Linked DNA regions of Stegostoma tigrinum. The protein of the gene in region 1 interacts with the protein of each later gene in a pairwise test. Links are inferred from orthologs where the notes say so. Each region holds a gene or a part of one and is shown on either strand. Other genes may lie near its edges.

What was found. The genes of interacting proteins can lie anywhere in the genome.
Region 2: the proteins of exosc8 (region 1) and tfap4 interact in binary tests that used the Homo sapiens proteins (3 or more experiments, as listed by UniProt). The two-hybrid records come from large-scale screens. The link is inferred for Stegostoma tigrinum from reciprocal best matches to the Homo sapiens genes EXOSC8 and TFAP4.

The regions. Positions count from the first base shown.
Region 1 is NC_081359.1:85,240,140-85,246,399, forward strand, and holds the start of exosc8 (exosome complex component RRP43), read left to right. Parts: upstream 1-1,937; 5' UTR 1,938-2,133; coding exon 2,134-2,150; intron 2,151-5,531; coding exon 5,532-5,568; intron 5,569-5,779; coding exon 5,780-5,843; intron 5,844-6,260. UniProt on the Homo sapiens protein: Non-catalytic component of the RNA exosome complex which has 3'->5' exoribonuclease activity and participates in a multitude of cellular RNA processing and degradation events.
Region 2 is NC_081376.1:33,230,669-33,236,928, reverse strand, and holds the start of tfap4 (transcription factor AP-4), read left to right. Parts: upstream 1-2,694; 5' UTR 2,695-3,079; coding exon 3,080-3,168; intron 3,169-3,999; exon of another isoform or gene 4,000-4,381; intron 4,382-6,235; exon of another isoform or gene 6,236-6,260.

The DNA of each region.
Region 1 (6,260 bases):
GTCTTCCAGAGAGAAAACTGAGACAAAATATTTTTCTTTGCCATTTCCTCATTTCCCATGATATTTTTTCCTTCTTTGTTTCTAAGGGACCAAGAGCCAATATTTATTTTAAGTTAGTCTTCCTTTTTGCATATTTTTAAACACTCTTGTTATCTGTTTTAAGTTTTAAGTTCCAGACAACTGATATCCTCACGTTGCAGGCAACACCTGAGGATATGGATATATGGGTCACATTGGTATCTGCCAGCTCCCATATGCTGTAGCTACACTACATACGGTAATAAAATGCCCAGGAAGGTACTCCTGATGAGTTGAAACTTTAAAGAACTGCTCAACTCGTTCCAAATGCTCTTAAATTGACATAAACAATATTCGGGCATCATCCACTCCACATGTTAATGCCAAAGTTATTCCCTCAAACAACAATGTAGTACCTGCATTTTTCACTTTGTAAGCTTGGATGTGTGGAATATTTGTTTACAAAGGGTATAGCTTTGTACTATTGTTATTTCATATAAGTGTCACCAACAATCCAGCATTTATTGTGTTTCCAAAGTTACCCTCGAAAAGGTGGTGACCAGATGTCACCTTAAACTGCTGCAGATCATGCAACCAGTACATCCACAAATCCGTTACAGAGGAACTTTCAGGATTTCATTCCAGCAACGGTGAAGGAAACATTGAGAATATTCCATCACACCCCTGACTTGAGGCTGACGAATGGTGGACTGGCCTGAGGATTTGGTGGATACTTTACTGCAAAATTCCAAGGCTCTGATCTGCTCTTGTAGCAAAATATGTAGAGTTCAGTTTCTGGTCAATGGTAAGCCAAAATAATAGTGAGATCCAATGACCGTAACACCAACATTCTTGGTTAGCAACTCAAACAACAATATTAATAAGAGTTAGATGTGTGGAATGTTTGTTTATAAATGGTATTGCTTTATACATTTTAAAATTTGTTTATTGCCTTAAACAGTCAATCCTTCCATCACTGTCACACAGTGGCAGCAGCGTTTATGTGACGCACTGCTACAATTTGCCAAGGTTCCATCAACTGTACTTTCAAAACCTGCAACATCCATCTCCTAGAGCAGGCAGCCAAAAGAGGCTGGGGTCGACAGCAGAAGCAGGTGGCGAGGGGTGAGAATGGGTGTTCAGAGCCGGGGGCGGGGGTCAAGCCATTGTGGGGAGTGTGAGTCCAGCATGGCCAGGTACTTGTGGACCGTGGTGTTGAACTGTTAACATGTTTCTTTGTTTCCTCATCCCTTTTTAGCATGAAGAACTGCAATGTTTAACTTTATAACTTTGTTTTTCATATTTTTCTGCTTTATACCCAAGAGTTGGTACCTTTGTACGTTTGTACCTAAAATGGTGCTTTATGTGGATACTTGTAAATTTTTCATTGTACTCATGAGAGTAATGTGACAAAAACCTAATTCAATTCAATTCATGTCCGATTTCAAATGATATCATGCAGTCACCAGGGACCAACTCCACTTTGACCATATGTGGGAGGAATGGTATTTGATAAAAGTTGCTAAAGGTAGTTGGGCTCAGGACACTACCTGAAGAAGTCCTGTAGAGATATCTTGGGACTGAGATGATTTGTCAGCATTACCTGTAACACTTTTAGCGCAATTCATGACTACATTTGGAGAATTCTTCGTGAGTTATATTACCACCGACTCTTTAAAATATTAGGTATTATAAAATATACATTATAAAGGATATATTATAAATTTATATTTTTAGAAATAATACAATGTATAATTTAATCATAATTAGATATGCAGTATATTTTAAAAGCCAATGAGATGTATACAGACTGGTGAATGCGAGCTGTAAGACATTGTTTCCTGAAGATGCGGATTGCAGCTGTCAATCATCATGCTGCACCAACCAGCCACATGGCTTTCATTTCCGTTCTGCACATTCCACACTAAACTAAAAATAAGAAAATAAACCCCATGAAAGGGATTGGCCGTAGACAGAGCGGGGATTACAGGAGTCGAAGCAGGGAAAAATACAGCGTAGTCCAATGAGGGAAAGAGGCTCACAACCGTTCCGGCCTCTCCGCGGAATCTGCGAATCCAGTTCCCAGGTTCACATGGTTCAGAGAGACCGAGAAGGATGGCGGCTGGATTCAAGTGAGTGAGAGACAGGGAGAGAGAGACACACACAGAAACAGAAAAAAAAAACAAACAATCAATCAATCAATCAATCAATCAATGGGGGGAGGGGGGAAGACAGAGAGAGACAATGGGGGGAGAGGGAAAGAGAGACAATGGAGGGGGAGAGAAAGAGACGGACGGGGGGGAAAGAGAGAGAGACAATGGGGGGGGGGAGAAGAGAGAGAGACAATGGGGGGGGGAGAAGAGAGAGAGACAATGGGGGGGGAGAAGAGAGAGAGACAATGGGGGGGGGGAGAAGAGAGAGAGAGAGACAGACAATGGGGGGGAGAGAGTGAGAGATAATGGGGGGGAGAGAGCGAGAGACAATGGGGGGGAGAGAGCGAGAGACAATGGGGGGGGAGAGAGCGAGAGACAATGGGGGGAGAGAGCGAGAGACAATGGGGGGGAGAGAGCGAGAGACAATGGTGGGGGGAGAGTGAGAGACAATGGGGGGGAGAGAGCGAGAGACAATGGTGTGGGGAGAGTGAGAGACAATGGGGGGAGAGAGTGAGAGACAATGGGGGGGAGAGAGAGAGACAATGGGGGGAGAGAGAGAGACAATGGGGGGGAGAGAGTGAGAGACAATGGGGGGGAGAGTGAGAGACAATGGGGGGGAGTGTGAGAGACAATGGGGGGGAGAGTGAGAGACAATGGGGGGAGAGAGAGAGAGAATGGGGGGGAGAGTGAGAGACCACAGGGGGTAGAGAGAGAGAGACAATGGGGGGGGAGAGTGAGAGACAATGGGGGGGGAGAGTGAGAGACAATGGGGGGGAGAGAGTGAGAGACAATAGGGGGTAGAGAGAGAGAGACAACGGGGGGAGAGAGAGAAAGAGAGACAACGGGGGGAGAGAGAAACGATTGGGGGGAAGAGAGACAATGGGGGTAGAGAGAAAGAGAGATGGGGGGAGAGAGAGAGAGAGAGACAAAGGAGGGGAGAGAGAGAGAGAGAGACAATGGGGGGGAGAGAGAGAGAGAGAGAGACAATGGGGGGGAGAGAGAGAGAGAGACAGACAATGGGGGGGAGAGAGAGAGAGAGACAGACAATGGGGGGAGAGAGAGAGAGACAGACAATGGGGGGAGAGAGAGAGAGACAGACAATGGGGGGAGAGAGAGAGAGACAGACAATGGGGGGAGAGAGAGAGAGACAGACAATGGGGGGAGAGAGAGAGAGACAGACAATGGGGGGGAGAGAGAGACAGACAATGGGGGGGAGAGAGTGAGAGACAATGGGGGGAGAGAGAGAGAGAATGGGGGGGAGAGAGAGAGAGAGAGACAATAGGGGGAGAGAGACACAATGGGGGAGAGACGGAGAGAGAGACACAATGGGGGAGAGAGAGAGACAATGGGGGGGGAGAGAGAGAGACAATGGGGGGAGAGAGAGACAATGGGGGGAGAGAGAGAGAGAATGGGGGGGAGAGAGAGAGAGAGAGACAATAGGGGGAGAGAGACACAATGGGGGAGAGACGGAGAGAGAGACACAATGGGGGAGAGAGAGAGACAATGGGGGGGGAGAGAGAGAGACAATGGGGGGAGAGAGAGACAATGGGGGGAGAGAGAGAGACAATGGGGGGAGAGAGAGACAATGGGGGGAGAGAGAGACAATGGGGGGAGAGAGAGACAATGGGGGAGAGAGAGACAATGGGGGAGAGAGAGACAATGGGGGGAGAGAGAGAGAGAGAGACAATGGGGGGGGAGAGAGAGAGAGAATGGGGGAGAGAGAGAGAGAGACAATGGGGGGGGAGAGAGAGAGAGAATGGGGGAGAGAGAGAGAGAGAGACAATGGGGGGGGAGAGAGAGAGAGAATGGGGAGAGAGAGAGAGAGAGACAATGGGGGGGTGAGAGAGACAATGGGGGGAGAGAGAGAGAGAGACAATGGGGGAGAGAGAGACAATGGGGGGAGAGAGAGAGAGAGAGAGAGACAATGGGGGAGAGAGAGAGAGAGACAATGGGGGGGAGAGAGAGAGAGAGACAATAGGGGGAGAGAGAGAGAGACAATGGGGGAGAGAGAGAGAGAGACAATGGGGAGAGAGAGAGACAATGGGGGGAGAGAGAGAGAATGGGGGGAGAGAGAGAGAGAATGGGGGGAGAGAGAGAGAGAATGGGGGGAGAGAGAGAGAGAATGGGGGGAGAGAGAGAGAATGGGGGGAGAGAGAGAGAGAATGGGGGGAGAGAGAGAGAGAATGGGGGGAGAGAGAGAGAGAATGGGGGGAGAGAGAGAGAGAATGGGGGGAGAGAGAGAGAGAATGGGGGGAGAGAGAGAGAGAGAATGGGGGAGAGAGAGAGAGACGATGGGGGGAGAGAGAGAGAGAGACAATGGGGGGAGAGAGAAAGAATGGGGGGGAGAGAGAGAGAATGGGGGGGAGAGAGAGAGAATGGGGGGGAGCGAGAGAGAGACAATGGGGGGGAGAGAGAGAGAGAGAGAGAGAGAGAGAGACAATGGGGGGGAGAGAGAGACAATGGGGGGGAGAGAGAGAGAGACAATGGGGGGAGAGAGAGAGAGAGACAATGGGGGGAGAGAGAGAGAGAGACAATGGGGGGGAGAGAGAGAGAGAGAGAATGGGGGGGGGAGAGAGAGAGAGAGAATGGGGGAGAGAGAGAGAGAGAGAATGGGGGGGAGAGAGAGAGTGAGAGAGAATGGTGGGGAGAGAGAGAGAATGGGGGGGAGAGAGAGAGAGAATGGTGGGGAGAGAGAGAGAATGGGGGGGAGAGAGAGAGAGAATGGGGGGGAGAGAGAGAGAATGGGGGGAGAGAGAGAGAGAGAGAGAGAGACAATGGTGGGGAGAAGAAGAGACAGACAATGGAGGGGAGGGAGAGAGAGAGAGGGGAAGAAGGGGAGAGAGAGAGACAACGGAATGGAGAAGGAGAGAGAGAGAGACAAGAGACAATGGTGGGGGGAGAGAGAGAGAGGGAGAGAGAATGGGAATAGGGTGAGGGGTGAGAGAATGAGATTTGGGGGAGGGGTGAGACAATGGTGGGGAGAGGATGGGTATGGGGGCGGAAGGAGGGACAGAGAATGAGAATGGGGAAGGGGGAGGGAATGAGAGAGAATGGTGGGAAGGGGAGAAAATGGGAATGGGGAAGAGGGAGAGAAAGACAGAATGTGGGAAGGGGGAGAGAATGGGGAAAGTGGATGGGTGAGAGAATGAGAATGGTGGGGAGAGGATGGGTATGGGGGGAAGGAGGGTCTGAGAAAGGGGGACACAGAATGGGGGAAGGTGAGAAATTGTGAGGTGGTGGGTGAGAGTGCAGAGTGATGCTTAGGGTGTGACGTGTCATGAAAATGTATTTAAAATATTTTTAACACTAATTATTAAACGATGCAATGTAACATTGGATTATTTTCCCTCCTTTTTTCAGAATGGTCGAGCCTTTGGAATACTACAGAAAATTTCTGGTAGGCTGTTTCTCAATCGCTGTCATTTTTACTCATAATAAAAAATTAAATTTTAATTTAAACATTAAATAAAAAAAATTAAATGTAGTGAACTTTTGTGATAGAATGTTTGTTCGAACAATGGAATGATCCTACGAGGAATGTCACTGCTATATTTGTATCTTGAACTATGATGCTAAACCTTTTTAAATGGTATTTTGATCCATCTCAGAAAGAAAATTGTCGACCTGATGGAAGGGAGCTGGGGGAATTCAGAACAACAACTCTCAACATAGGTGAGAATTGAACAATTAATCTAATGCTTCCATTTGTAAAGCTCAAACTTGATTACTTTGATTTCTTTCCTGATGACCACATAAGCAATTTCTGTGAAGTGAGAACTTTTTTTAAGTCATTTTGGTGTGACAGTCTCCAATGTATTTACTGCCGAGGCGAATATTGGAATGAGAAGGTGCCGTTCTGAGGAAGGGTTGCTGGACCGAAACATTATCTCCGATCTCCTCGTAAGACAAGCCCTCCAGTCCAGGCAGCATCTTGGTAAACCTCCTTTGCACCCTCTCCAAAGCCTCCACATCTTTCCTATAATAGGGCGACCAGAACTGGACACAATATTCCAAGTGTGGTTTCACCAGGGTTTTGTAGAGCTGCAGCATTACCTCGCGGCTCTTAAACTCGATCCCCCTGTTAATGAA
Region 2 (6,260 bases), on another chromosome or scaffold:
CACTCACCGAGCCGGTGTGTTTAGTTGCAGACGTTTTGTCACCATGCTAGGCACATCGTCAGAGCGCCTCTGGTGAAGCATTGGTGTTCTGTCCCGGGGTTATTCATATGGCTCAGTTGGCTGGGCTGGTTAGCATCAATTCTGGTTCTGTTTTTCAATGGTTTGTATATTAGGTACTAACATGGCCTTACTTCCACTCCTATGTCTTATGGTCTTATCCAAGGACATGCACCATATTGAAAGGATAAGCAGATGGGCAGGATTGCCTTTTAGTAAGAAATGAAATTTCATTGATGACAAGAAATGATATAGAGTCAGAAAGTCTTGAATTGAGAAAGGGCTCAAGAAAAAGACTTTGGGAAGATGTGTAGCTCGGGTTGTGGATGAGGTTGTAGACTCACTCACCGAGCCGGTGTGTTTAGTTGCAGACGTTTTGTTAGTTGATGGAGTTCTGGTCAGAATGCCAGGCTTCCAGGAATTCCCCTCTGCTAGGCACGTAAGCCAAACTGAGGTCAGGCTAACTGACCTATAGTTTCCTGTCTTCTGCTTCCCTCCATTCTTAAATAGGGAGTTACATGAGTCATTTTCCAGTCCTCTACGACCCTCACTGATTCCAGTGATTCCTGAAAGATCACCACCAATGCCTGTACAATCTCCTCAGCTCAAATTCCCAACTATCCAACCTTAAGCCTTTAAATAATCACAATATCTCAACAGCCACCAATTCATTAAGCCACACTTTCTTGACCTTTCATAAGCTTGTCTCTTTCCCTAGAACCGTTACATTTCTTCATCCTAATATTCCACAGATATGCCCCTCATCAACATCACAACCCTTTCTTTTTCTCATTTGTTCATTGGTAATGTTATCCAAAAGCATGGTGTCAACTTCCATATGTTCATTGATGACATTAAGCTCTACCTGTTAGCCCCTCCTCTATTTCTAAATCATCCGGCTGCTATTCGGACATCCAGAACCAGGTAAGCAGTTATTTTGTCCAGTTAAATATTGGCAAGGTGATGGTGAGTATCTTTGTTTTCCAACACAAGCTGCTTTTTCTACCTACCAACTCCAGCTCTTTCCCTTTTTTCAGGTGGAACTAGACTGTTCACTAACTGAATGTTTCACATCACTGAAAAGAGCTTCTTACTGTGCACCTATACCGTCATTACAACCGCCTGTTTCCACTTGAATAACTTTGCCTGATGACTATCCCAATGCACTTCTTACCAGCTGTCAATGTTCTATCTTCCATAAACCTGAGATCATTCAAAGTTCTGGCACACATGGCAGAGTTGAGTCCCACTCACCAAATAACACCGATATGAAACTTCTTGTCTTTTTCAACCATTCCATGAAGTGTATCCCATCTCAAGCTCTCTAATTACCTCCCTTCCTAGCACAGATCCTGGCCTTTTTGAAATTCCAGATTGTCATCACTCCGGTCTCCACTCTTAGAGAGTCTGCCTTCCAAATCTATGATTTCTATCAACAGAAAGGTCAAGCATCAGATATATAAGAATACCACTAACTGTAAATTTCCATTGAAACCACACACCATCCAGACTTGGAAGAATACTATTGCTCCTTCAAAATCCTGGAGCTTCTTCCTTAACAGCACTGTGAGTATACCCATCCTAAGGATGCAAGAGTTTGAGAAAGCAGCTTCTCCAGCACAGTTAGGGATGGAGAGCCTATGCTGGTTTAGCCAGGAATATGCTAGGAAATTTAAGAAGGTTATCTATATGTTTCAAACTCTGGAATTCCCTCCATAAACCTTTGCCTCTCTACTATTTCTTCCCACATTTAATCACTCCTTAAAGTCTACCTCTTCAACACAATTTTAGGTCATCTGACCTAATATAATGTTATGTGCCTCATTATGAAATGTTATTCCATAACGTTCCATAAACTGCCTTGGGCCTTTAACGGTGCTATGTTAATGCAAAATACTGTAGCAACGATAGATTTGTAATCCTGTCACAAAATTGCTATCTGTAATTTTAATCAAAGTGTTGCTTACTAAGTAATTCCCACACAAGTATTTGATGATGATGTGGGGGTGGGCGTGTTGTTAGCAAGGAGGACGAGATCTAGTCAATCTGCCCACTGCCCTAATAATGAGGATATACCCTAGGATTTGAAAAGCTACAAAAAAAATGACTGAATCCCACTTCGAATTGTCCAAACGAAAGGAAACAATGGCATGGAACTTTGTGGCTACCTGCTTGGCAGGCACTTTATCCTACTTTTTCTGAGCAATTCTTTCTTTGTGGTAGGTGGGCAGCATCACGCCTACCCTGTGTTCATAGGCAGGATGAATTCTGCAATTTTCTATTCCTTTCAGAGGAAAAAAAATGTCGTTTTCTGTGGTGCTCCAAGGATAGAGAAGCCGATAATATTTTAACATTGGAATTCTCGGGCTTGTGTTGCATTCCCTTGAATTCCCCGGCAGTCCGTTCCTCACTGGTCAAGATCGAAGCTTTCTCTTAAGTACACTTGGTAAAAGGCAAAGGTAAAATAGGACCTGATTGCTGCCTTGAAATGTGCAAGATGATATGTGGTGTCTCTTTAAAGCAGAGTTGGAGTAAGTGGGCGGGCGGGGGTTGGATTTGCGCCTCTCTGTGTTCTCAGCTGCTCCAATGTCACAGAAGCTGTTGCTTTTCCTCTCGGCGTTGCCAGCCCGTCAGCTGATGAGCCGCTTCACCCCACACACGTAGTGGCGTATGCAGAAACATATCCCCCCACCCACCTTTAACGGACCACTGCCCATTTCCTCCCCTCTCAGTTGGCCCCGGTAGCGTCCTTCTTTCTAATTTGCAGAAGCAAACCGGACTCTGCTTGCACCCTGTCCGGGGGCTCGGCCAGGACTGGCGCATAGTCCTTTGTTTACATGCAATCCCGGTCCCGGCGGAAGGAGGCGGCGGTGCTGCGAAGGCACCAGCTGTTTCCCGCCATTTACAACCATCTGATAGAGCGATCAGCTGGAAACACACACAGAGAACCAGAACTCAGCCAGCCTTTTATTTAAGGCGATTATTATTATTTGTGCACAATTATTTTCACCAGGTGCAAGACATGGAATATTTCGTGGTGCCGACTCAAAAGGTACCTTCATTCCAGGATTTCAGGAAGAGTGAGAAAGAAGTGATAGGAGGTCTCTGTAGGTGTGTACTTTTCTCTCCCCATTTATACATTTTATATATATCTCATTTTTCTTTTGCTACTAACAAGCGAGGCTCCATCTGCTGTCTGCATGGAGGAGCTTGCAGAGCCCCAGGAGGGAGGGGGGCATGCGGTGTTGTTGCTACTGTTTGCTGAGTGACGGGGCTGCAGCGGCCAGGACGGGTTCCACGTGGATTCGGGGTTTGGAACGCGGCGGCTCCAGGCAACATTCCAAAGCGGAATGGATACATTCGGAGGTTCCAAATGCATCCACGTGGGAAGAGCTGCAGCCACGTTCCCTGAGCTGGTTAAAGGAGGGACAGGGGGAAACCAAATTTCCGATCACTCCTTCCCACTCCCCTTCCCTCAAATGGTTGTCCAAATAAAACTCCTCACCCAGGGGCCCACGTGCGTCCAAAGTGGTCGCTTTCCGGGTGGTGTTTGCGGAAAGGTGGCCGAGTTAAAATACCTACGTAGAGGGTGTTGGAAAGATATCCCCTTCTACTCGACTGTTCAGGTGCAACATGAAGCATTGATCGGCTCTTCCGTCCCAGGGTTGGGGCCGAGGAGCGCTTTGGGCCTGCCTGTTCCTCTGCAGCCCAGCTAGAGGTAGCAGGCGTGCGGCAACCTGGGAGCTGTAGTCCATTTTGGCCGCTCGGAAGTGTGGGAATTGTAGTTTTCTTTTGCTTGCTGAAAGATTGTACTCTGAATTATATTTAACCCAATCTATCCCCTCTGCTGATCAATATTGTACAGGATTGCAATCGGACGAAGTTTAATGTTTAAATTATTTGCAATTGAATTATTAAGAATTATTAAGATTCAAAACGAAATACTGTGGATGCTGGAAATATTAGCAGATCCGGCAGCATTTGTGGAGACCAAAAGTGTCAGGTCGACGATTTTCGTTAGGATTCAGTCATCAACCTGAAACATTAACTCTTGTTTCTGTTGCCTCGGGTTTTGCCAAACCTGCTGAATGTGGAGCAGGGTGCCCTGTTGGGCTGAATGGCCAGTTTCTGTGATGTAATTCCTACAAATGTCTGGATTTCCAAACTTTGTTTGTTGTTGAATAGATTGTGTGGGAGTGTCAGTGCTGCCTATTGGATTACTGATATCATCTCTGAGGACCGATAGTTACATCTTGTCATTGCAACCATTGACACCTGATTGTACAGAATCCGCAACAGAAAAATAGGCTAATTGGCTCATCTGGTCAGTGTCAGATTTTATATTTACATACAGTCCTTATTCCTCATATATGCATTAATCCTGTTTTTAAATCTACCAGAGTCATCAAGTTCACAGCATAATATAACCTATGCTACCCTGGGAGTATTTGGTTTGTGAAGGTGGAGGTTTAGCTTTAGTCAGTATTTAATCTGTCCCGGAAGTGATAGATGGGACAGTAGACAAGGAACATTGTACCCAAATCATGATGTAGATACGTTGGGAATGTTTAATGAGACAACTGTTGATTTATTATTGTCACATGTACCAAGATACAGTGAAAAATATTCTTTTGTGTGTGCTATTCGGACAAATTGTACCTTACATAATACGTCAGGGTAATAGAACAGAATTCAGAATGTATTGTTACAGCTGCAGAGAAAAATCAACTCTAATATATGAGAGATCCATTCATAAGTCTGTTAACAGCAAGGAAGAAGCTGTACTTGAATCTGCTGGTACATGTTTTTAAACTTCTGCCTGAGGAAAGAGGATGAGAGAGAGTATAACAGGAGTGGGAGGGGTGTCTGATGATGTTGGCTGCTTTCCCAAGGCAAGGAGTGTATGGTTTTTGTGATGGATTGGGCTGCGTTCACAACACTCCAATCTCTTGCAGCCTTGGGCAGAGTACTTGTATACCCAGCTGTGATACATCCAGATAGAAAGAATATGGTTTATTGTGCATTAATTAAACATTGGTCAAGGTCATTGTGGACGTGCCGAATTTCCTTAGCCTTCTGAGAAAGTAGAAGTGTTGGTCTTGACCATACTGTCCACATGGATGGATCAGGATGGATTGTTGGTGATATTAACCCCTAGGAACTTGAAGCTTTCAACCATCCCCACCTCAGGAACATTGATACAGAAAGGGGTGTATCCTCCACTCCACTTTCTGAAGTCAATAACCAGCTCCTTTATTTGCTGACATTGAGGAAAACATTGTTATTGTTACACCATGCCACTAAGCTGTCCTTCTCTTTTTTTCTAATTTGCCTTGTCGCTGTTTGTGAACTGACCCACTACAATGATGTCATCGGCAAATTTATTAATGGAGTTAGAGCTGAATTTGGCCATGCAGTCTTGTGTATAAAGGGCTGAATACACAGCTTTATGAAGCTCCAGTGCTGAGGATTATCATGGAAGTGTTGTTAGCACCTATTGTTAGTGATTGCGGTCTGCAGGCCAGGAAGTCAAGGATCCAGTTGCAGAGAGGAGTAGCAGAGACCTAGGTCTTAGAGTTTAGAGGTGAGTTTGGTTGAAATTATATCAGAGATATTAGGAACTGCAGATGCTGGAGAATCCAGGATAACAAGCTGTAGAGCTGGATGAACACAGCAGGCCATCGCTACACCCACAGTCTCCACAGCTAGCAGCTCCAGAGGATACAGCAACACTGAGCCCTGCCGAGCCTTTACCAGCCCCCTAGATCTCCCCCTTACTGAGGACGAACGGTCAGTCCTCAGTAAAAGGCTCATCTTTGTCCCCCTCCACCCACACATTAACGAATACCAGTCACATTTGGATATTGAGCAGTTTTTCCGCTGCCTCTGCCTCCTTCCACCTATCTTCTCCTCTATCCATCTTCGATCCACCTCCCCCTCTTTCCCTATTTATTTCAGAACCCCCTTCCTCTCACCCATTTCTGGTGAAGGGTCTAGGCCTGAAACATCAGCTTTCCTGCTCCTAAGATGCTGCTTGGCCTGCTGTGTTCATCCAGCTCCACACCTTGTTATCTTGGTTGAAATTATGGTGTTGAAGGCGGAGCTGAAGTCAAATAGGAGCCTGATGTGTAGGTGTCCTTGTTATCCAGATGTTCAAGGGATGAGTTTAGGGCCAAGGAAATGGTGTCTACCATGGACCTATT